Mus musculus: one gene and its partners. The protein of the gene in region 1 purifies or fractionates together with the protein of each later gene. This does not show direct contact. Links are inferred from orthologs where the notes say so. Each region holds a gene or a part of one and is shown in the gene's direction. Other genes may lie near its edges.

Region 1 (7,403 bases):
ACCCCAGAAATATCCCCTCCCTGAACCCCCCCAGGAGGTGTGTGAGTCAGCTGATGACAAGGTCTTGGACCTAGTAGACTATTGCCACCGCAAGCTGATACTGCTAGTGGCCCGGAAAGGCGGTGGTGACCTGTCTGAAGAAGAACAGTTCCAGGACAGTACCCCTATGCAAGTAAGCTACGGTTTCCTGGACTTAACAAAATCTCGATGTGAGTTCTCTCCAGCCTCCACAGGCAGGGTGAATGCTATGTGCCTGTGCCCCTACCCCCCTCTCCCGCACCATCAGGAGCTGCAAAAGCAGGCGGAGATGATGGAATTTGAGATATCCCTGAAAGCCCTCTCGGTGCTTCGCTACATCACAGACTGCGTGGATAGGTGGGCCACCCTCCAAGGCCCGGGGGCGAGCACACAACAAGGGGCTGTGTGTCCTGGCCCGTGGCCTCTGCTGACCACCCTTCTACCCTACCTCTAGCCTTTCCCTGAGCACACTGAACCGCATGCTCAGGACTCACAACTTGCCCTGCCTCTTGGTGGAACTGCTGGAGCACAGTCCCTGGAGCCGGCGGGTAGGAGGTAAGGCTCCCCCTCCCATTTGCCTAAGATGTAACTGGCTGCTTCCAGAACACCCTTCAGGATCAGTGTGAAGGGTACAGGGTACACATTTAGGATTCTGGGATACCTCACCCGAGATGGGACTAGAGTTTGACTCTGAGGCAGACAAGTCCTGTGAACCATTTGTTGAAGACTCCACCTTGTTCTGACGTCTGGTGGCCCAGGCTTTCTAACCTTGCCAGGCAGTGGTGGACAGTCCTCCGGACCACACACTCTCAAAGATAACACAACACCCACCGGCATCCGGTGGGCTCCTTCTCCTCCCCCAGGCAAGCTGCAGCATTTTGAGAGTGGCCGATGGCAGACGGTGGCCCCCTCAGAGCAGCAAAAGCTGAATAAACTGGATGGGCAAGTATGGATCGCCCTGTACAATCTACTGCTCAGCCCTGAGGCCCGAGCCCGTTACTGCCTTACAAGCTTTGCCAAGGGACAGCTGCTTAAGGTGGAGAACTCAATGACCCCGCCCAGCCCCACTGCCCCCCTGCCCAGACCCACCCCCCAGGGCATCCTGGCCTGTCCCTGTCCCCTTTCCACAACTTGGGCTTCAGGCATCGACAGGGGAGCTGGTAAGATGCAAACCCTCCAAGGACGCTCAGCCCAATTTCAGGACTTCCTGTCTCTTGGCCCTCTGGCTAGGAACAGTTAGTTTCTCAATGGCCTTCCCTGGATCTCTTGCAGCTTCAGGCCTTCCTCACTGACACACTACTCGACCAGTTGCCCAATCTTGCCGATCTGAAGGGTTTCCTGGCCCACCTGTCCCTGGCTGAAACCCAGCCCCCTAAGAAGGACCTAGTGTTAGAACAGGTAAGGCCCTAGAACATGCTTGGGAGTGCTTGGGACGGTGGTCCACTTTTCCGGCTCCTTCCTCCCTGTCTCCATTACACTTTTTTAGATCCCAGAAATCTGGGATCGCCTGGAGAGAGAGAACAAAGGGAAATGGCAGGCTATCGCCAAGCACCAGCTTCAGCACGTATTCAGCCTCTCGGAGAAGGATCTTCGTCAACAAGCACAGAGGTAAAGTCCACTGAGTGGCTGAAGTCACGTGCATAGGACCAAGGAGGGAAGGTCACCTAGTGCTTCTGTGCACCTACCTGCCCGGTCCGTCCATTCAGCTCTTCTCGACTCCTCCCCCAGGTGGGCTGAAACCTACAGGCTGGATGTCCTAGAGGCAGTAGCTCCGGAGAGGCCCCGCTGCGGCTACTGCAACGCAGAGGCCTCCAAGCGCTGCTCCAGATGCCAGAATGTGTGGTATTGCTGCAGGTGAGGCGATCCTGGGACCTTAGTTGCCCCCCTAAGCTCCAACCCTGGGTTCTCCTACAAGCCCTGTCATTGTCATGCAACCCACCCCGCTGCAGGGAGTGTCAAGTCAAGCACTGGGAGAAGCACGGAAAGACATGTGTTCTAGCAGCCCAAGGTGACAGAGCCAAGTGAAGGCCGTAGCTGCCGAGGGCCGACAGAAGAGCGCACCCAGACTGTGACTGAGCTTCAGGGACTCGTGGCTCGCCCCTGTCAGACCTCAATTTCCCTGGTGAGCACAGCTGAGTCAAGTAGAGCTGCAAACCACCACACTCTTCACTTCCTGCCCCACCCAGCGAATACGCAGAGGACCAGGCCACAGCATCAGCAAACTGGCAGACAGGGTTGGGGGGTGTAAGCAAGGGCCGGATGTGGAGACCCTCTTCCTTTCGCACAATAAAGCAGACTCATGAAACGCAACAGTGTGGCGCTGTACAGTCATCCTTGGGGTCGGGGGAGAAGACTGGACGGAAAGATTGGGAAGGGGCTCTTTGAAAGGGCCCACCCCTGTGCCGTGCCCCGCCCACAAGTCCACACGGTCGGCTCGCCTAGGGTTCCAGCGCGTCCTCCTCGGCTCTTTCCCGCCGCCCTGCCTGGATCCTGGGGGCGGTGCCGAAGTCGCGGCCCGCCCTGCGGCCTCGCCCGCTCGGTACTCACTAGCTGCTAGTCCGCTACAGCACCGGCCTGACCGGGCCATGTCGGCGGAGCCAGAACTCATTGAACTACGCGAGCTGGCACCGTCCGGGCGCATCGGTCCAGGCCGTACCCGGCTGGAGCGTGCCAACGCTCTGCGCATCGCCCCGGGTACAACACGCAATCCGTCACAGCAGCACGTCCCGGGTCGTGGCCACCGTTTCCAGCCTGCAGGGCCCACCACGCACACGTGGTGCGACCTCTGTGGAGACTTCATCTGGGGCGTCGTGCGCAAGGGCCTACAGTGCGCGCGTGAGTAAGCGGCCCCACACAGCCAGCGACTACGGAAAGGGAGGCAGCACCATAGTTGCGGGTCAAGCGGCAGTGGAGGGCTGGTCAGTTGTGATGATCCTGCAGACCAGATCTCCTGGCCTTGCTCCATCAGGGAGAGTGCTTGAGAAAATGGTTTATCACTTGTCACGCTCTGTCCGTGCACAGTTGGGCAGAGTTAGTTGTCTGTGAATAAGAAGGTGCTTCAAGTTTGTCTTTAAAGTGCTTGTGCCCTTTCTTGAAAAGCCTTTGTGCCTGCTGAGCTCTGAGCCTACATTCCGAGGCCCGCCTCTTCCCAACGATTGGCTCACTGTGTTCCCCCTCTAGATTCCTGGGTGACGTCTCCCACATTAATAGGGGGCCAGAAAAAGTTAGAACCTTAGTTAGGCTCCTTGTTAGTAGGAATTCTATTGAAACTTCAGTCAAGGTTGTTTTGAGTCAAGGATGCAGAGGCTAAAACATGGAGTCCAGCCACACACACAATGAGTGGTCCTTCTGACCTAGGAATTACCAGCAAACAGAACCACGCAGGACAATATATACCTTCCAGTCTCCTCGCGCCTACTTCTCCTCTCAGACTTGTTGACTCCGTTGTTGAAAGTGGACCTTAGGCATCCTGGTTTTTCTGTTTTGGTTTGGTTTTTTGGTTGTTTTGTTGTGTTTTAAGACAGGGTTTCACTCTGCAGCCCTGGCTTGCCTAGAACTCTCTATGCAGACCAGGCTGTGACAAGCAACCCACCTGCCCCTGCCTCCCAAGTTCTGATGTATAGTTTTGAGTTGAGAATCGGTGCTTTGGGCCATATAGGAACTTAAAAATGGCACTGTAGGCCTGTGTGTGCCTCCAGATCATCTCATTCACTATACAAGTATGTCACAAACTCAGCTAGTGTAGCAGTTTGTGACAGAATGCCACATGAGAGCAAGAGCTGCGGCATCTCAGCATTCACAAGGAGAAAGAAAGCTGCTCTGGGGTTCTTGTCTAGGAAGCAAGACAGTTTGGGAGATAAGGAAGAAACCAAAGGCAAATGGAGGGTTTGCTTCAGATTGGGCTTACAGTGATAACTTGTTGAGATAGGAACCCTGGGGTGGAGTGAAGTGGGGAAAAAAATGACATTTTGGCCATATTCATTAGAAATCTTCATTAGACATTAATGTGAAGGCACTGCACATAGGATTTGGTCTGAAGAGGCCGATCAGTGCTGCCTGGGATCTGGATCAGGTGAGTGTAGTCAGAGCTGGGACAGTACCCAGGTGAGAAACCTGGACATCAACTATGAGACCTGGGCCTTTATAGAACTAAGGAGAGGCTGCTGGCAAGAGCGGCAGAGGAGTGAGAAGGAAGCCTGGCCAGTGGGTGCTGCCCCTGGGAGTCAGGAGGAGCAAGCAGGAACTGAAGGATTTAACAATCCAGATAATGGGTACAGAAGTCAAAACGTTAGACATGTCCACTGGACATTGTGGCTCGTGGACAATAATCCTAACACTGGAGCTGTTGGAGGCAGGAGGATCACCAAGTTCAAGGTTACCATTTGGGGCTAACCTGAACTCTATGAGATTCTTTCTCAAAAACCAAAATAGACTTGTGTAAACAAGTGGAGACTAATAGGTTTTTTTCGGCCGAAGAAGTAAGCCAATTCAAGCGGAATTGAGAGTATGAAAGGAGGTTTATTGGGGGCGGCAGGTTCACCGATCCCAAGGAAGGAGGCTAGGGAAGTCGCCATGCAGACAGGGTAAGAGGGAGGATGTGTACGCAAGGAGAAAGAAATGCAGAGACAGAAAAAGAGACAGAGGAGGGGAACGAGGACAAAATGTCTGGATTATATAGGTAAGAGCCTTTGGGGGAGGGGAAGCCCAGTTCTGGTATGCCAGCTATATCCTGCAAGAGGTGTGGGCTAAGGGATGCTCGGGGAATCTGGAGGCCAGGTCTGCTTTGATGCGTTACATATGCACCTCTGCCGCTCGTCTGAAACCCAACAACAGGGGCAGAGGACAAATACAGGAAGTCGTAAATTAAATGCCTTTGTTTTCAAGTTAATGGCAAAGCTAAGTAATAGCTCGGCACAAGTGTTAAGCATGCTTGGATCCCTAACCGCCTGAGGCCTCCCAGCAAGTGTCCAGAGGTGCCTAACCGAGGCCTCTGGGATCGGTGTAGCAGTGGGCGGTAACCGGCTGGAGAAAAGGCCAGTGAGCCCCAAAACCTGTTAACAGAGGCTCCCTCATTCAGTGGGTCACTTCGCCGAGCTCCCCCGCCTCACGGCCAGCCCTTTCTGCAGACTGCAAGTTCACCTGCCATTACCGTTGTCGCGCGCTCGTCTGCTTGGACTGCTGCGGGCCCCGAGACCTGGGCTGGGACTCTGCACTAGAGCGGGATACGAACGTGGTGAGCGCGGGGTCGGGGGAGGGCGGGCCGGGAGGGAAGCCGAGACTCGGCGGAGGTGTGCAGGGTTAATCCCTACGCCGTGCATAATGAACACCCCAGTGATCAATTTCCCGGCATCAGAGATGCTAGTTTCGCTGGGTTTGTCAGGCGAAGGCGCTCCCTGGCTGGGAGCACGCGCACCTCTCACACCCCGCTTCCGGCCCTAAGGGCAGCGGCGGTGCACATGCGCACACGCCCCGGCCCGCTGGGAGGCGGGACCTGAGAGGCGGAGCCGAGTGGAGATGCCTCTGCGATGAGGTCATCCGTCGAGCTGTAGCGTCGTGGCCCCGCCCCTCGACGTCTTCACCCCCTCACCCCCCTCGACACCAGAGCTAAAGTCGGGCTGTCTACGTTTCAGTCCTAACGGTTGCCGCGCGGCGCTGGCCTCCGCGCAAGCGCGACCTGACACACTCACACGCACGCACGCACGCACGCGCCCGAGGCGGTGGTTAGAGGCTCTCCACGCAGTGGACTAGGGATCGGGCGGGTAAGGCGATGGGCGAGGCTGAAACACCTTCCTTCGAAATGACCTGGAGCAGCACAACCAGCAGTGGCTACTGCAGCCAGGAGGACTCGGACTCGGAGCTCGAGCAGTACTTCACGGCGCGTACCTCGCTGGTCCGCAGGCCGCGTCGGGACCAGGTGGGGAGCCCGGGGGGTGCCGCCGGCGGGTGAGGGGCGGTCGCTGGAACCCCGCCCCTCCCCGGTAAGTTGCGGCCTGGAAAGTTAGGTGATGGGCAGCCTCCCCGCCTCTCCATAGCGAGCCACTCGGAGGGTCCTGACAAAAGCGAGGAAGCGTACGTAGGGTTCTCTGTCCCGAGTAGAAGCCCAGTTCCAGCGCGATGGTACTGAGGACCCAGGCTACCCTGCCCTTGCAGTCACAGACCGGTTGAGCCAGGGGGAAGCAACTCTGAAGCTTGAAGGGTGGACCACAGGCGGGCGTTTTTCACCCATGACTAAAGCCAGACTCGCAATCCAAACCGGCGTCTTGATTTCGCATTTGGGCGCTCCCACTCCCTCCCTGGGGGAAATGAGGAAGTGGAGGAGGAGTCCACCGGGAAGTGAGAAGTTAGTTTGGGAGGGGACTCTGGCCGTGCCGTGATGCGGTCTTGGATCAGCCAGCAAAGTGCCCAGCCGTTGCTCGACCAACTCTTTGACACCAGCTGCTGGACTCGATCTTTCTTTCCTCCATGGTGGAACTGTGCAGAGGGATTTGGGGAATTCAGGAAGAGGGCCTTAAAAGACTATTAAAAAAAAAAAAGTGTGGTACCAGGGCAGCTGAACCTCTTTAAAAAGTCTAGATGTGCCCAAATTATCCGACTTTCTGGGAATATCATAGTTGTGGCCACCAAGCTCGGATAACTTGTTCTGGAGCGGGAATCCCTCGGAACAGCACAGAGGCCAGCGAATCAGGAAAGTGAGGACGGAGACTGAGGTTAGAAAACTTAGTAGCACTGAACTAGAACTCCTTATTTGAGCCAAGAAAGTGGAATTGTCTGTGATGCTGTAGGTGAGATTTGATATAAATTTCCTACAGGTGGACTGCTACTTGACACCTCCAAAACCTTAGTCCAGACTTTAGACTCAATGTGGGGTGGGAGTGGGGGCGGGAGGGTGTCTCTGGGATTGTCTCCATACCACTCAACCTGAGTCATCTTCTATTATGGAGAGGTGGGGGAAAATATAAGATACTGGCCAGTTGAAAGGCATACAAAGAGAAGAATTGTTTAAAAGCAGCTGAAGTTTATAGCTGACTTAGCTGTAGAGTGCTTAGCATTATATGTGTGATGGATGGCCTGACTTCCAACCATTAAGGAACCAAAAAATAAGAAAGAAGAAAAGGAAGCTAAGAAGTCCCAAAGAGCAGAGTAAAAGCCTGAGGGCTGGGGCTGGGCTGCAGGTTCAATCCCCAACCCAGACCCTCCTAGAATTCTCCTGGGACCAGGCACTGCCTAGCGGTGATCCCAGCTGTGTTTGTTCCAATTGCATTCCAATTTAGGGCCTTTCTGAAACCAACAGGAAGTAAGACTCACACTGGGAGTTGAGGACTGACTGCTCTTCCAGAGGTCCTGAGTTCAATTCCCAGGAACCACATGGTGGCTCACAACCATCT
Region 2 (6,767 bases), on another chromosome or scaffold:
ATGTCCTTATATGCCTCACTTGCGTCTGAAAAAGTGCAGAGCCTGGAAGGAGAGAAGCTCTCTCCGAAATCTGATATTTCTCCACTCACCCCACGAGAGTCCTCACCTTTATATTCACCTGGCTTTTCAGATTCTACCTCTGCAGCTAAAGAGACTGCAGCAGCTCACCAAGCCTCCTCTTCCCCACCAATAGATGCAGCAACAGCAGAGCCCTATGGCTTCCGCTCCTCAATGCTATTTGATACAATGCAACATCATCTGGCCTTGAATAGAGATTTGACTACATCTAGTGTGGAGAAAGACAGCGGAGGGAAGACACCCGGAGACTTTAACTATGCCTATCAAAAGCCTGAGAATGCCGCCGGATCTCCAGATGAAGAAGATTATGACTATGAATCTCAAGAGAAAACCATCCGGACCCACGACGTGGGTGGTTACTACTATGAGAAGACAGAGAGAACCATAAAATCCCCATGTGACAGTGGGTACTCCTATGAGACCATTGAGAAGACCATCAAGACCCCAGAAGATGGTGGCTACACCTGTGAAATTACCGAGAAAACCACTCGGACCCCAGAAGAGGGTGGCTATTCATATGAGATCAGCGAGAAGACGACACGGACCCCTGAAGTAAGCGGCTACACCTATGAAAAGACTGAGAGGTCCAGAAGGCTCCTGGATGACATTAGCAATGGCTATGATGACACTGAGGATGGCGGCCACACACTTGGCGACTGTAGCTACTCCTATGAAACCACTGAGAAAATTACCAGCTTTCCTGAGTCTGAAAGCTATTCCTACGAGACAAGTACAAAAACAACACGGAGTCCAGACACCTCTGCATACTGTTACGAGACCATGGAGAAGATCACCAAGACCCCACAGGCATCCACATACTCCTATGAGACCTCAGACCGATGCTACACTACGGAAAAGAAGTCCCCCTCAGAGGCACGCCAGGATGTTGATTTATGTCTGGTGTCCTCCTGTGAATTCAAGCATCCCAAGACGGAGCTCTCGCCTTCCTTCATTAATCCAAATCCTCTTGAGTGGTTTGCTGGTGAAGAGCCCACTGAAGAATCAGAGAAGCCCCTCACTCAGTCTGGAGGAGCCCCCCCACCTTCAGGAGGAAAACAACAGGGCAGGCAATGCGATGAAACGCCACCCACCTCAGTCAGTGAGTCAGCCCCATCCCAGACAGACTCTGATGTTCCCCCAGAGACGGAAGAGTGCCCCTCCATCACAGCCGACGCCAATATTGACTCTGAAGATGAGTCAGAAACTATCCCCACAGACAAAACCGTCACATACAAACACATGGACCCACCTCCAGCCCCCATGCAAGACCGAAGCCCTTCTCCTCGCCACCCCGACGTGTCCATGGTGGACCCAGACGCCTTGGCCGTTGATCAGAACCTAGGCAAGGCTCTGAAAAAAGACCTGAAGGAGAAGACCAAGACCAAGAAGCCAGGCACAAAGACCAAGTCCTCTTCACCTGTCAAAAAGGGTGATGGGAAGTCCAAGCCTTTAGCAGCTTCCCCCAAACCAGGAGCTTTGAAGGAATCCTCCGACAAGGTGTCCAGAGTGGCTTCTCCCAAGAAGAAAGAATCCGTGGAAAAAGCTACAAAGACCACCACCACTCCTGAGGTCAAAGCCACACGCGGAGAAGAGAAGGACAAGGAGACCAAGAACGCAGCTAACGCCTCTGCATCCAAATCAGCGAAGACCGCAACGGCAGGTAGGTGGGGTCACTTGAAAGCCTGCCCGCTTCTCTGTCTGTCCTTTTGCTGGGAAGACCAGAAATGGTGGACTGATGCTCTACCTTTCGTCCACCTTCCTCTTCTGCTTAAAGGTTCACCTCCTGGCCCAGTGTGGCTTAGAGAGAGCAAAGTGTGGTGGGATCCGTCTGGTGGGATTTCTGGGCTGATGTCATTCTGGACAGCAGCTGTAGGCCTGTTGCAAACCTTCAGAATTAAGGATGTGTGTCTCGGGCTGCTCAGGGAGGCTTCAGGCAGGCTGACCTTAAAAATCACATCAGGGTGACAGATCAGGAACTCCCAAAGGCGTATGGCAGACCAAAGGTTTCCCTGGCAAACCTGGAATTTTGTCTAAGCCCGATATTTATTTCTTCTGTAAAATTTAAAATGTAAAATTATAAAAATGTACACCTTTGGGGAAAAAATCCTAACATGTAGGCAATATATGTGCCCATTGAAACATCTGCCGTGTTTTCTTACCTGCTAGTAAACAATTTGATTCCAGTTGACCAATAAATATCGAGTAGAAAAAGAGGAAACCGTTAAAGTTGTTTCTCCTTTCTACCCACGGCCTTGCTAGCACAGTGATTTCTCAGGCCCGGAATTCCACTCAGCAGGAGCTAAGTAGAAATGCCTGCTGGCTCCCCATTCGCCACTGATAGCCAGCAATCTCCATTCCTTAGTGATGACTTGAGACTTTTCTTTTGTTTTTGTGAGGTAGGTTCTTGCCATTTCAGAAATTATTGGCAATTATTTCCAAGCTCCAACCCCAAATTTCTTAAACATTTTTCCCCTGAAGCTCAAGACGTTAACTCAAATAGCAGTGTTTTATTTTTAAATCATTGTAGCATGAACCAATCTAAAGATACACTAGTTTGATACTTAGGTGCTGATGCAATGGTAGAAAACTATGAGAAGCCTTTGTTTCCATAATTCAACTCTTCTGTTTCTACAAGAGCAGTGTGTTTCAGACACCACCCATTGTATTGCAGAGTAAGACAGCGAGCACACTGTGGGACCAGAACCAGGGCTACCGTGAAGCTGTGTGTGCCATGCTGCACACATGACCGGAAACCCCATGCATCATTACATCTGATTTTAAATTAAGTTCAATGGGTGATCAGAAATTTCTTACTGTTGAAAAACATATTTGTCCATTCATGTTTAGTTTTTCAATTCCGTATGGCATCAGGATCCATAAGTTAAGCCTCTGTCTTATAGAGCTTTTCAAACTAAAATACACATTAGTACAAGTAGACCCTTTGGATGGAGAGTACTCTTATCTAATTCCTACATATATATATATTGGCTTTCTCGAGACAGGGTTTCTTTATATAACAGCCCCCGGCTGTCCTGGAACTCACTTCATAGACCAGCCTGTCCTCAAACTCCTAGAGATCCATATGACTCTGCTTCTCGAGTGCAGGGATTAAAGGCATGCATCACCACTACCTGGCACTAATGCCTTTAAAAAAAAACAAATCGAAGAAACTCTTTTTTCTTTTCTTCCTAAGGGGTTGTCTGCAAAGGGAAGCCAAGTCTTTTTCAGTTTCTCCTATTGAGCTGGTAAAGAAGCACGGTATAATTTCTCCTAATGTTGGAGGCCCTACATGAGGAGCCAGGGAACTGGGACTCCTACCATCCCTTTCATGTCCCAGAGACTGCAGCTGGGGATCCGTGGATGTGTCTGTGTCTTCACACTGCTATGACCCTTGCTTTGTGTTTGTTCCCAAAGGACCAGGAACCACTAAGACAGCCAAGTCGTCCACCGTGCCTCCAGGCCTCCCTGTGTATTTGGACCTGTGCTATATTCCCAACCACAGCAACAGTAAGAATGTCGATGTTGAGTTCTTCAAGAGAGTGAGGTCATCTTACTACGTGGTGAGTGGGAACGACCCTGCCGCGGAGGAGCCCAGCCGGGCTGTCCTGGATGCCTTGTTGGAAGGGAAGGCTCAGTGGGGAAGCAACATGCAGGTAAGAGCATGGGGCCATGTCTGAGGTGCATTTGAACTCATTATAGAAGTAAAGAGAAGGAAACATTGAAATAGGCGTCTTTGTCCCTGTGGATCCACATGTAGTGCCTCCTGACTGTTGCATGTGAAATATGCCAATGAAGTTTTCAACTGATGTTTTCCAGGAACCACAACCAAGCTGTAAAAATTAATTCTTTTTTCATCGAGGGGAGGAGTTGTAGCCTAGAATCTAAATCAGCTAGGAACTTGTAGTTCAAATAACAGGTCAGTTTAGCTTACAGAAGATAGCCTAAGGTGGCCTCCTTGACAGGGTCACTATCAGTAGCAGTGGAGGAGCACCGCCTTACCTAAGACAGAGTCCACACATCGGTAAAATGACCTGAAATGAATTGCTGTCCCAACCCTGCCTCTCTCCCCCCAATTCTGAGTATTGTATGTGTGAATCAAAGTTGTCCTGAGCCTGTGGAATTGCTGCTAAGGAATTATCTTACTCACTAGTAGACTAAAGCTAGGAACATGGTCACTGGCCAAGATACGTGGGATCAAGTCTCCAGGTGAAATTCCAGACTGGTGTCATTGCCTCTCCTCTCCGGATATATTCTGCTCCAGCCCCTCCGGGCTGGCTATGAACCATCCAGTCTCCATGTTCCTATTGGGCTCTGATCACTGGTTATCTGATTTGTGGGACTGCAAATCATCACCTAGCAACTTGTGCTCACATCTTCCATAAGGTTGCTTCCAAAGAATTCCACAGTGTTCACATGAGAAGTACCAAAGTCGGTACTCCCCTCCTACAGCACAGACTCTGTTTTCAGGCCAATGTGTGGGCTTCTGGGGGTTTGAGCTACAATATTAAACTTCGTGCACTAAGTGTGGAATATATAGGCTGTACAACATCTGCCCCATGTTAATGGAAACACGAGAAACAAACAGTTCTCAACACCACTTCGTTAAAAAGCCATCTGAAATTTACATGCAAGTTCCTAGGTAATTTAGATTCTAGGCTTGAACTCTTCCCTTCAATGACATCCCAAAAAATTTTTTTTAAATTAAAAAAAAAAACCTTCTAATTTTTACAGCTTGGTTGTGGTTCTTGGAAAACATCAGTTGAAAACTTCATTGGTATTTTTCTGGTAAAACGGCATTTTTTTTCCTTTTATCCCTTTCTGCTAGTGATCCAACAGACACCTTGTTCTGTTTTTACTCTGGCATCTATCCCTGCTGTCCTTTAAATATCTCCTTTTCTCCCCCTCCGTAGGTGACTCTGATTCCGACACATGACTCCGAGGTGATGAGGGAGTGGTACCAGGAGACCCACGAGAAGCAGCAGGACCTCAACATCATGGTCTTAGCAAGCAGCAGTACAGTGGTCATGCAAGACGAGTCCTTCCCCGCATGCAAGATAGAACTGTAGAGACCGCAGCCGGCCACACCACAGGATTTGAACTGTGTTTCCAGAAATTCTTGAATTTGAAACTACCTTTTCTAAAACGTCCATTCATCCAATTAAGTCACTGAACAGTTATTACCTGCCAGATGCTATACTATGTCATGGTGATGCAAGTCACTGATAGTTCTCAATTTTTGCTGACTGCTAAGGGAAGTAACCATATTCCCACAATAGATTTCGAGTTACTGCAAAATTGCCTACCCCCGTTCATCTCTGCTGAACATTCGGAAGCCATGCACTCACGCACCCAACTGACTTCTGCTAGGTATTGGCATTTATCATAGAGAGAGAAAGAGAGGGAAAGAGAGTCAGCGGGAGGGGAGGGAGAGAGGCGGGAGAGAGGGACAAAGAGACTGCAGGAGAGAGAGAGAGAGTGAGAGGGGAAGAATCAGAAAGAAAAAGAATGCAAGAGACAAAGGTAGAGAGTTCTGATGAGATGCCCAGGGAGAGAGAGTGGGCAAGATGGGGTATAGAGAAGACACCAGCAACCAGGTCTGCATTTTCTCAGACCACAGCTATTCTGTGGTCTACACAGGTGGAGTTTCCCATTTTCATCAGAGTCATCAGAAAGAGTCTTATTCTCCTAAAGCGTGTTTCTAAAGAACAAAAAGAATGAAGCCTGTTACGAGGGCATGAGCTTTTTCACGCCTTAATTCAATGCCTTTGCTATTATAAAGGCTGCACACGGCATAATGTAGCAAGTGTAGACTGGATGAGTGAGTGGTTTGCGCCCCATTCAGAACTCTCAGACTTTTCGAACACGTGAGTAGGTTGATCTAAGGCATGCTCCCAGCATTTGTCTACCCAAGTCCACACCAAGTCAAGCTGCATGCAGCAACACCCAAGTCCACCCCGGTTAACTGAAGCAAATACCAAAGCAGGTGGGAGTACACATGGGAGACATTTTGCCTTAGGAAGTGACTTGAATGTACAAAGACACCTGATGCACTTATTTTTTAATGTGAGACAGCAAGTTTTTAAACCATCCATGTAGGATTGTAGATACTCCAGGGAAAGGAGCGTGTGGGGAGGGAAGGTACCAGAAGCTCATCTGATTGGCCCAACGGTTTAGTGCAGAGTCATGCTTGGTGAACATCACCACTTCTGATGTACCCGTGGCCACTCAACCAAATCCGTTGCACCTTTCGTAGCTTCTTTAATTCTTCAAGTTCAAGACCGGAATGGCTTCTTTGATCAGAACCAGGAAAACAGTGAATCTTATGGTGGAAGAGCTCTCAGCAAGTGTACAGCATCTGCCTTCCTTTGTCTTGCATTGGCTATTTTAATTTTCCATTAATTTCAACACATGGGAACACATGTACAGAAGATTTTTTTTTTTTTTTTTTTTTTTTTTAGCTACTCGAGAACTTTTCATAGATGAACTTTTTAACAAATGTTTTCATTTACAGGAAAACGCAAAGAAAATTTTGAAACGATGGTCTTTCTTTTTAATTATTATTTTAAGTGTTTTTTGTAAGACAAAAATTGAAGTTTTTTTAAGGTTCTGGCAAGATTTGAAGTCTGATATTGAAGTCATGATATTTATTTTTAAAAACCTGTCACTACCAGAAACGGTGGTACCTCCTG
Region 3 (7,529 bases), on another chromosome or scaffold:
CATGAACTGCGACTGCTGCCTATAGACTGTTGATTCTGGATTGCATCCTCCTTGGTCAAAGAGACAAATTACAGGCCTTCAAGAAAGCACCTAATTAAGGCTTTCTCTCTGCTGTAATTCAAAGGATTGAACGGCTCTGGAAAAACAGCTTCGTAGGGAATGTGGATGGCTTTTAAAGCAAATGTGTAACAAACAGTGTGGACTCGTCTTGAATATGGTACAGCAGGGAAAGGCCCCAGACGGGACGAGAAACCTCCAGCTCTGACAGCCTTTGTTTGGTTGAGTTGATGACAAGCTCTCAGCACTGCAGGCTGACCTGGATGGATGCTCAACGGAGGCTGACTTTGAAATCTTGTTCCTCCTGCCTCACCCTCAAGCACTGAGACATCTTACAGGCTTGCTCACTGTACCTAGCTCTGCTCTTCATCTCCAGCTGGTGGGTGGTACAGGATATCTGATCACACTGTGAGCCCCAAGATCATGTTATCTATTGAAAAAAACTTGTTTCTAGTTGTGGTGTGGCTCAGTCCTTAGCCCACACCTTTCGTCTCTCTGGCTGGAATACAGACATGCCCTCAGCACACACCTTTAATTCTAAACTATGAAGCTAAAGTTAGTTTGTAGAAGGAAGCACCCATATTTGAAAGTGGTGTCTGCAGTGAGAAGGGTCCAGAAGATTAGTATATATTGCTGAAGTTAAGTTTGAGGCCAAGCAGAGCAAAAAGTCAGAAGCCAAGAGAGAAGCCAGATTGAATCAGTCAGCTCGGAGAGGAGTTTGCGACGGAAGAGCTGAGTTGAATCAGCCGGCCAGAGTTCAGTAAGAACAAGAAAGGGTGAGCTTACTCAGTGGCAAGTCTCAGAGGCTGAAAACATTCTAAGCCTAAATTAGACTGAGGCTAGAAGCTTCCAGAACTAGGCTTAGGTTAGCAGACCGAGGCAGTAAGCCTCTGGAGATGACAATTACATGAAGCGAATAAAAGTCACACTAAAGCAATTTTAGATGGGCCTAGAAACCCCGGGGGCGGGGGGCAGATTCTCAGAAGTAACCTGTCCTGTCCACGATGCCTTCCTGGTCCTCTGCTTCCAGTAACTCACGTGATGATGAAGACCCTCCCCGTCTGGCCCAGAAACAGGAAGCCAGGTGACCATGGTCTAAACCTTTAAAACTCGTAACTCTAAACCAGGTTTTCTCCTTTACATCGTTTTGTCAGACGATGGTCACAATCATGAGAAAGGTGACTAGTGTCGTTCTGCCACCAAACAGGAAGGTGATCTAAGACAACATGTAATGTTTTTTTCATGAGTTTAACATAGTTGATTTCAGAACTCCCATCCAGCTACAAAATCCTATGACTTTTCCTCTCATGAATGTGGAAAGCATACTTCACTCCATTCTCTGGAAAGCCCAGGTCTAAGGAACTATCTTAACAAGATCCCAGCAACCTCACTTCCTGTCCTCTGAGGTCAGCCTTGGGAATTTTAGGGCAACTTCTTTCTCCTTTACCTCCCTTCCTCAAATTCTTCACGGAAAACCCCATTGTCTTTTCTCTTTCACCCTTGCGTGTTCTCTATCTGCACTACCGACTCTTTAGAGCTAGCATTTGTATCTGAACCACAGCAATACTTGAGTGCGCTTCCTCTCCTCAGACAACGTGCTCTATGAACTGCGTTTGGGTAATGAAGGTTTACACAAGGAGCAACCCTTTGTTCTCTTTTTCTTTTTATTAGATATTTACATTTCAAATGTTATCCCCTTTCCCGGTTTGCCTTCCAAAAACTCCCTCTCCCCTCCTCTCTCCCCCTGCTCACCAACCCACCCACACCCGCTTCCTGGTCCTGGCATTCCCCTACACTGGGGCATAGAAACTTCACAGGACCAAGGGCCTCTCCTCCCATTGATGACCGACTAGGCCATCCTCTGCTACATATGCAGCTGGAGCTATGAGTCCCACCATGAGTAATCTTTGGTTGGTGATTTAGTCCCTGGGAGCTCTGAGAGTACTGGTTAGTTCATATTGTTGCTATGGGCTGCAAACCCCTTCAGCTCCTTGGGTCCTTTCTCTAGCTTTTTTTTTTTTTACTCTTATGCCATAATCAATCTGTCAGCAAACCCTGCTGCAACTCTAAAATGCCTACAATCACTTAGCGCTTGTCCTGCTGCCTTTATCCATATGCATGCTAGCAATATTTTTTTATCACCTCCCTTATTTTGAAACCCCACTCCCCCATTCAGTCTACTCTCACACAGCATCCAAAGTGATCGCATTAAATACGTCTCTCCTCTACTCCAAAGGCCTAGGTGGGTGGCCAGTTACCAAGGAACTTCATTTCCCTCTACTCTTCTCTGTTCCAGTTCCAGCTACGTGACCCTCTTCCTATTCCTACAATGAGCCAGAAACACGACCACTTGCAGTGACTTGCATTTGCTCTTCTGAGGCCTCACTCCAGATAGCACCATAGCAAGCTAATTCCAGCATTGCCTTCTCACTGGCTTCATTATCCGACCCCCTTTCCAAGCTGTGGGATCTCTCTTGTTTATGCTTCCTTCAGCGCTCACTCTGTTACATACTATGGCTTACTAGTTTTATTTTTTGTGATCTCTCTTCCCCATAACCGCAGGACCTTTGTTGTTATATCCCAGACACCTAAAACAGCACCTTGGATGCTGGGTGCTCAATAAAATATTTGTTATAGGATTATAGGGACCTTTAACAAGGAAACATTTCATAAAAACACAGGAGACAGACAACTGATTAAATGTCTTTGTGCATGGCTAAAAAAAAGAGCAGTTTGGTGTCTTGTTCTGAGGTTGGTGTTTTGCTTCTGTGTTTTAAGCACATTCTCTTCATTATGAAAGCCTTACTTTGATCAAGAGGAGTGAGTCCCAATCTTATTCTCCAAGTTATTCTGTGTACCTGAGCGAGTTAAAGAGAACAAAGTAGAATCTGATATATTAGATAGAAAACTCCCAGTTCTGAACTCTGGTGCTCAAAGGCTTCAAAATTCTAAGACTTAACTGCAAGAGAAGGCATGTGGTTATTAAGAATACATATTAAAATGATGAAATAAATACACTAACGTCAAATTTATCTTAGGAGCTGTAGAAACTCCATCTTCTTTTTTAATCCGAAAGCGCGGATGGGGATGGGGGGCACAAAAGGGGGTGGGCTACCAAGGGTTGGGGGAGATAATAAGAGGACAGAAGAAACGGAGACTCAGTTTTTACAGTAGTCACGCTGTCACCAGAAGAGTCATCTGTGTTACTAGGTGTAGCCCTCGCGGTCCCAGCACACCCGAGGGCTGCCTTCCCTCAGCAACCAGGACACGCGGCTGCGGTTGCGGGAAGCAGGGCGGTAGGCAAGTCCAAGGCGAGAGCCGCTCGCCGCCCAGCGGGCTCCGGACCGCCCGGACTCCAGCTCCCCAGCGGCGGGAGCCGGCCCGCGCAGCCGCACTGAGGGCCGCGATGGTCGCCACACCCGGCCCGTTAGCCGCCCGCCCGTCGCGAGTCGCCGCACGCAGCCGCGTCCGCGCCCGGCGGGGGAGGGGCGGCCCGTGCGCGTCGGCTTTCCCAGCATTCCCAGCGGCGCGGGGAAAGTTTACCGGACGTAGGCGGTGGCCGCAGCGGTAGCGGCTCCGGGCGGCGGACCATGGCCCTGGTGGGCGGCCGCGGCCCTGTCCCAAGGCGGCCTCGGGCGGCGTCGTTGAGCCGGCTGACTTCCCGGGAGGAGCTGCCCTGCGACTGAGCGGCGGCGGGCGCGCTTAGCGCGGCCAACATGCGGCGGAGCCTGCGGGCGGGCGCGGGCGGCGGAGACCCGAGGCGAAGGCGGCGGCGGCGGCCCGGGAGGCGGCGGCGGGCGGCAGGCTCGCGGCCCTAGCGAGGCTGCTGGGGCGGCGGCGGGAGTCGTCCGCGAGGATGCTGTCCCGCAAGAAAACCAAAAACGAGGTGTCTAAGCCGGCCGAGGTGCAGGGCAAGTACGTGAAGAAGGAGACGTCGCCCCTGCTGCGGAGTGAGTGTCGTGGGCGGTGGCGGGTGGGGACCCGGCGCAGCCTCGGGTGGTGCTGGAAGACCGACTCTGGGAAATGCATGGCTGTCCGTGGTGTTGGGGAAAAAGTGCTTCGACCCGGGCACCTCTCTGCTGGGTACGTCCGGGCCCCGCGTTTGCGACCATCGCAGCGCCACTCGTCGGCTCACGCACTCGCACACGCACACACACACGCGAGAGTGGATTCCTTCCTTAGTCCTGCAGCGGGACACAAACTTGTGAGGCAAAGAACCTGATACTTGATACTTGTAGCCACTACCAGCGTCCTAAGTAACACACACACACACACACACACACACACACACACACACACACACACACGAGAGACTTGATACTTGTAGCCACTACCAGCGCCCTAAGTAACACACACACACACACACACACACACACACACACACACACACACACACACACACACACACACACACACACACGAGAGAGAGACTGGATTCCTTAGTCCTTCAGCGGGACACAGACTTGTGAGGCAAAGAACCTGATACTTGTAGCCACTACCCAGAGTCTTTTCATTTCCCAGAGTAGACAAGCCATTAACGTATTTGGATTAGGCTTTGCTCCTAAAATTAAAAAAAGCAAAGTATTCAGAATAATTTCAGCCATACCAGGCAAGTTCCTAACTTTATTCCTCTTTCCGACATATGTTCCGTCCCCTCCCGTACGTAGCTTTTCTTCTCCGTTTAAAATATTTGAGTTTTTAACTTGAACGCCTTGATTCTCCTTTTTTAAAATTCTTGGGTAGTCAGAGAGCTAATCCTTTGGTTCTCATTCTAGGAGCTGGACCCCTTGTGTAAGTTTCCTTCTTGGAAACTGGAAGTAACCGTGTGACTTAAATTAAGCATTACCTCATATTGTAATTGGGAAAGCTGCTCACAGGGGTTCCTAGTATTTGCCCAAGATCCCGCAGAAAGGGGTGGAGAGCATATTTTTCCATTGTGACCATGTGTCCAGCCTTACAGGTTCTGTTAGTAGTTGGAGTGCTAGACAACACAGTTGGTGGGGTGGATGTGTCAGTAACTGAAACCATTTTTAAGAGCTTGTTTTTCTGTTTTTTTTAGGTGATAGCTTGCTTTTTGCTGCAAATAAAGTTTATTAAGCATCATTTGAAGTCATGCCACTTGTTGAGTCTTTTAGTGAGTGACTCCATACAGAATTTGTGTCATCGACAGTTAATTATTCCAATATTAAGTTACTGTAGTGTTAGCTTCTGACACCCTTAGTGACATTGATTTAATGAATTCAGAAAATGTGTTCTATATCCAGGTTTCATATTTTAAAGGTAGTTGCTTTCTAAGAACATGAAAGCTGTTTGCACATTCAAATCAGCAGCCATGACCTTGGTTTGGGTTATCTGCTTTTAAAGGAGCCATAATTCTTTCCAGGCTTTTTCAGTAGATCCAGGGTTTGTGTGCATCTTTGGAAGTAGATGACTTTATTTTTCAGTTTCCACACTGAAAGGTCTTGCTTTCTAGTTTTGATAATTGTGCTTAGAACCGGGTAATTCCTGATAGAAAGACAAAAAAAAAAAAATTACCAATAAAAAAGTCTTTTACAGGAAATCTGACTTTGCGGTTTTTTCTTTAAATTTTATTTTAATGAGATGTGTTTGTGAAGAAAGATTCTTGGTGATACTTAAATCAAGTGAAAACACCAAACTGTAGTCATACATGATGCTGGTAAAGGAATTGGTTTGTTAGGTTACTTTCAGCTTAGTGACATTGTATCATGTATGGCAATATGCAGCATCCATTCGTTTGTAGCTGAGTTTACACCTGCATATTAATGCAGATTATAAATGTATTTGCTTGGGAAAATAATCTTCATTTAAAGTTCTAGTATTGTCTTAAAATTTAAAATCTGTTTTCTTATGCCCTTTTGTTTGATATTTTGATCTCAGGATAGTAGACATAAATAACTTTAGACGAGTGTACTGACTTAATGCAATGGTGATTATATTTGTTTTATTATAGATCTCATGCCTTCATTCATTCGGCACGGTCCAACAATTCCCAGACGGACTGACCTCTGTCTTCCAGATTCAAGTGCTACTGCTTTCTCAGCTTCTGGAGATGGTGTAGTTTCAAGAAACCAGAGTTTCCTGAGAACTGCAATTCAAAGGACACCTCATGAAGTAATGAGAAGAGAAAGCCACAGACTGTCTGCCCCTTCTTACCTTGTCAGGAGCCTAGCAGATGTCCCTCGAGAGTGTGGCTCATCACAGTCATTTTTGACAGAAGTTAACTTTGCTGTTGAGAATGGAGACTCTGGCTCCCGATACTTCTTCTCAGATAACTTTTTTGATGGACAGAGAAGGCGGCCACTTGGAGATCGTGCACAAGAAGATTACAGATATTATGAATACAACCATGATCTCTTCCAGAGGATGCCACAGAGTCAGGGGAGGCACACTTCAGGTAACTCGATATAATAAACAGCACACTGGCTTATTCATACTGATATTTAAATTAAAAGGTGACCTGAGGATTTTCTTGGAAAGCAAAAAAAGCAAAACAAACCATACTCTTAGAGGGGAAAAAATTTCCATTTTGCCCTTCTTGCTTCCTCCTGCTTGCTGGTAGTTTTTAACTTATAATGAAGGACAGAATTCTTGTGTCTGTCCTCTATGTCATATTTTTGGCTTTTTGTAGGCAATTACTATTCCCCAGGTTGGTTAAAAAGACTGAGCAGATGGCTCACTTTGTGTGAAACATGCCTTTTTTTGTAACAGGCAGGAAACCCTGGCACTTCCTTTTCCCTTGACCTGGAAGGGCTTCTCCGAGGTGGGGATTAAGGAATGTTGCAGCTCCACTTAATTTCTAAAATGGCCATTACTGTAGATAAACTGGTAGAAGCTAAAAAGAGAACTTTCATCCTGTTTAGTAACTGTTAGGCTTTAAATTTGGCAGGGTAAAGATTGTGTGAGGTTGGTTTGCTTTTTAGTGGCCACAGCTTCTAATAAACTGACTTAACAGTTTGGAACATAACTGTATCAGCCATGAAGTTTGCTTTTATTTAATATTAATTATATGTTTAGCATTTTCTTGATCCTCTTGGGATATCTTATTTAGTGAGACAAAACCAGCATACACTTAATAGTCGTGGAACAACGAATGGTTATACTTTGTAGTCCTCACTGTTGAGGGAGCAGAGAAAGACCAGTGTAATTGGACTACTTAAAGGAATGCACACTCCAAGGAGCAGAGAAAGTTTGAAGTAGGCTTTGAGCTTGGACTGGACATTAACAAGGCAGAAGAAAGACATTTTAGGTTGAAAATTGGGAATACCCACTGCAAAATGAAGTGCAGTGGCTTAAATTTAAGAGATTATATTCCTACGTATTTTAAGAAATACGGTAGTAAGGTGAAATGGAGATTCATGGTCCAACAGAAAGTTTAGACTTGAAATCAGCCATTGTATAGCTCAAGATCAATGCCTGGAGAGTTGGCTCTGTGCTTAAGAGCACTGGCTGTT

What was found.
Region 2: the proteins of Rassf1 (region 1) and Map1b purify together in Homo sapiens (affinity purification with mass spectrometry; 3 studies listed by BioGRID and IntAct, counting the BioPlex papers as one, with this or other methods). This does not show direct contact. The link is inferred for Mus musculus from reciprocal best matches to the Homo sapiens genes RASSF1 and MAP1B.
Region 3: the proteins of Rassf1 (region 1) and Sav1 purify together in Homo sapiens (affinity purification with western blotting; 3 studies listed by BioGRID, with this or other methods). This does not show direct contact. The link is inferred for Mus musculus from reciprocal best matches to the Homo sapiens genes RASSF1 and SAV1.

The regions. Positions count from the first base shown.
Region 1 is NC_000075.6:107,548,994-107,556,396, forward strand, and holds the start of Rassf1 (ras association domain-containing protein 1), read left to right. Parts: upstream 1-2,561; 5' UTR 2,562-2,603; coding exon 2,604-2,853; intron 2,854-5,144; coding exon 5,145-5,251; intron 5,252-5,589; exon of another isoform or gene 5,590-5,785; coding exon of another isoform or gene 5,786-5,932; intron 5,933-7,403. Other genes in the region: Zmynd10 (zinc finger MYND domain-containing protein 10), read left to right, coding at 35-375, 473-573, 882-1,054, 1,291-1,416, 1,505-1,626, 1,747-1,872, 1,968-2,043. UniProt on the Homo sapiens protein: Potential tumor suppressor. Required for death receptor-dependent apoptosis. Mediates activation of STK3/MST2 and STK4/MST1 during Fas-induced apoptosis by preventing their dephosphorylation.
Region 2 is NC_000079.6:99,424,183-99,430,949, reverse strand, and holds part of Map1b (microtubule-associated protein 1B), read left to right. Parts: coding exon 1-1,738; intron 1,739-3,492; coding exon 3,493-3,731; intron 3,732-4,988; coding exon 4,989-5,144; 3' UTR 5,145-6,767. UniProt on the Homo sapiens protein: Facilitates tyrosination of alpha-tubulin in neuronal microtubules. Phosphorylated MAP1B is required for proper microtubule dynamics and plays a role in the cytoskeletal changes that accompany neuronal differentiation and neurite extension.
Region 3 is NC_000078.6:69,983,152-69,990,680, reverse strand, and holds the start of Sav1 (protein salvador homolog 1), read left to right. Parts: upstream 1-3,678; 5' UTR 3,679-3,913; coding exon 3,914-4,007; intron 4,008-6,028; coding exon 6,029-6,472; intron 6,473-7,529. UniProt on the Homo sapiens protein: Regulator of STK3/MST2 and STK4/MST1 in the Hippo signaling pathway which plays a pivotal role in organ size control and tumor suppression by restricting proliferation and promoting apoptosis.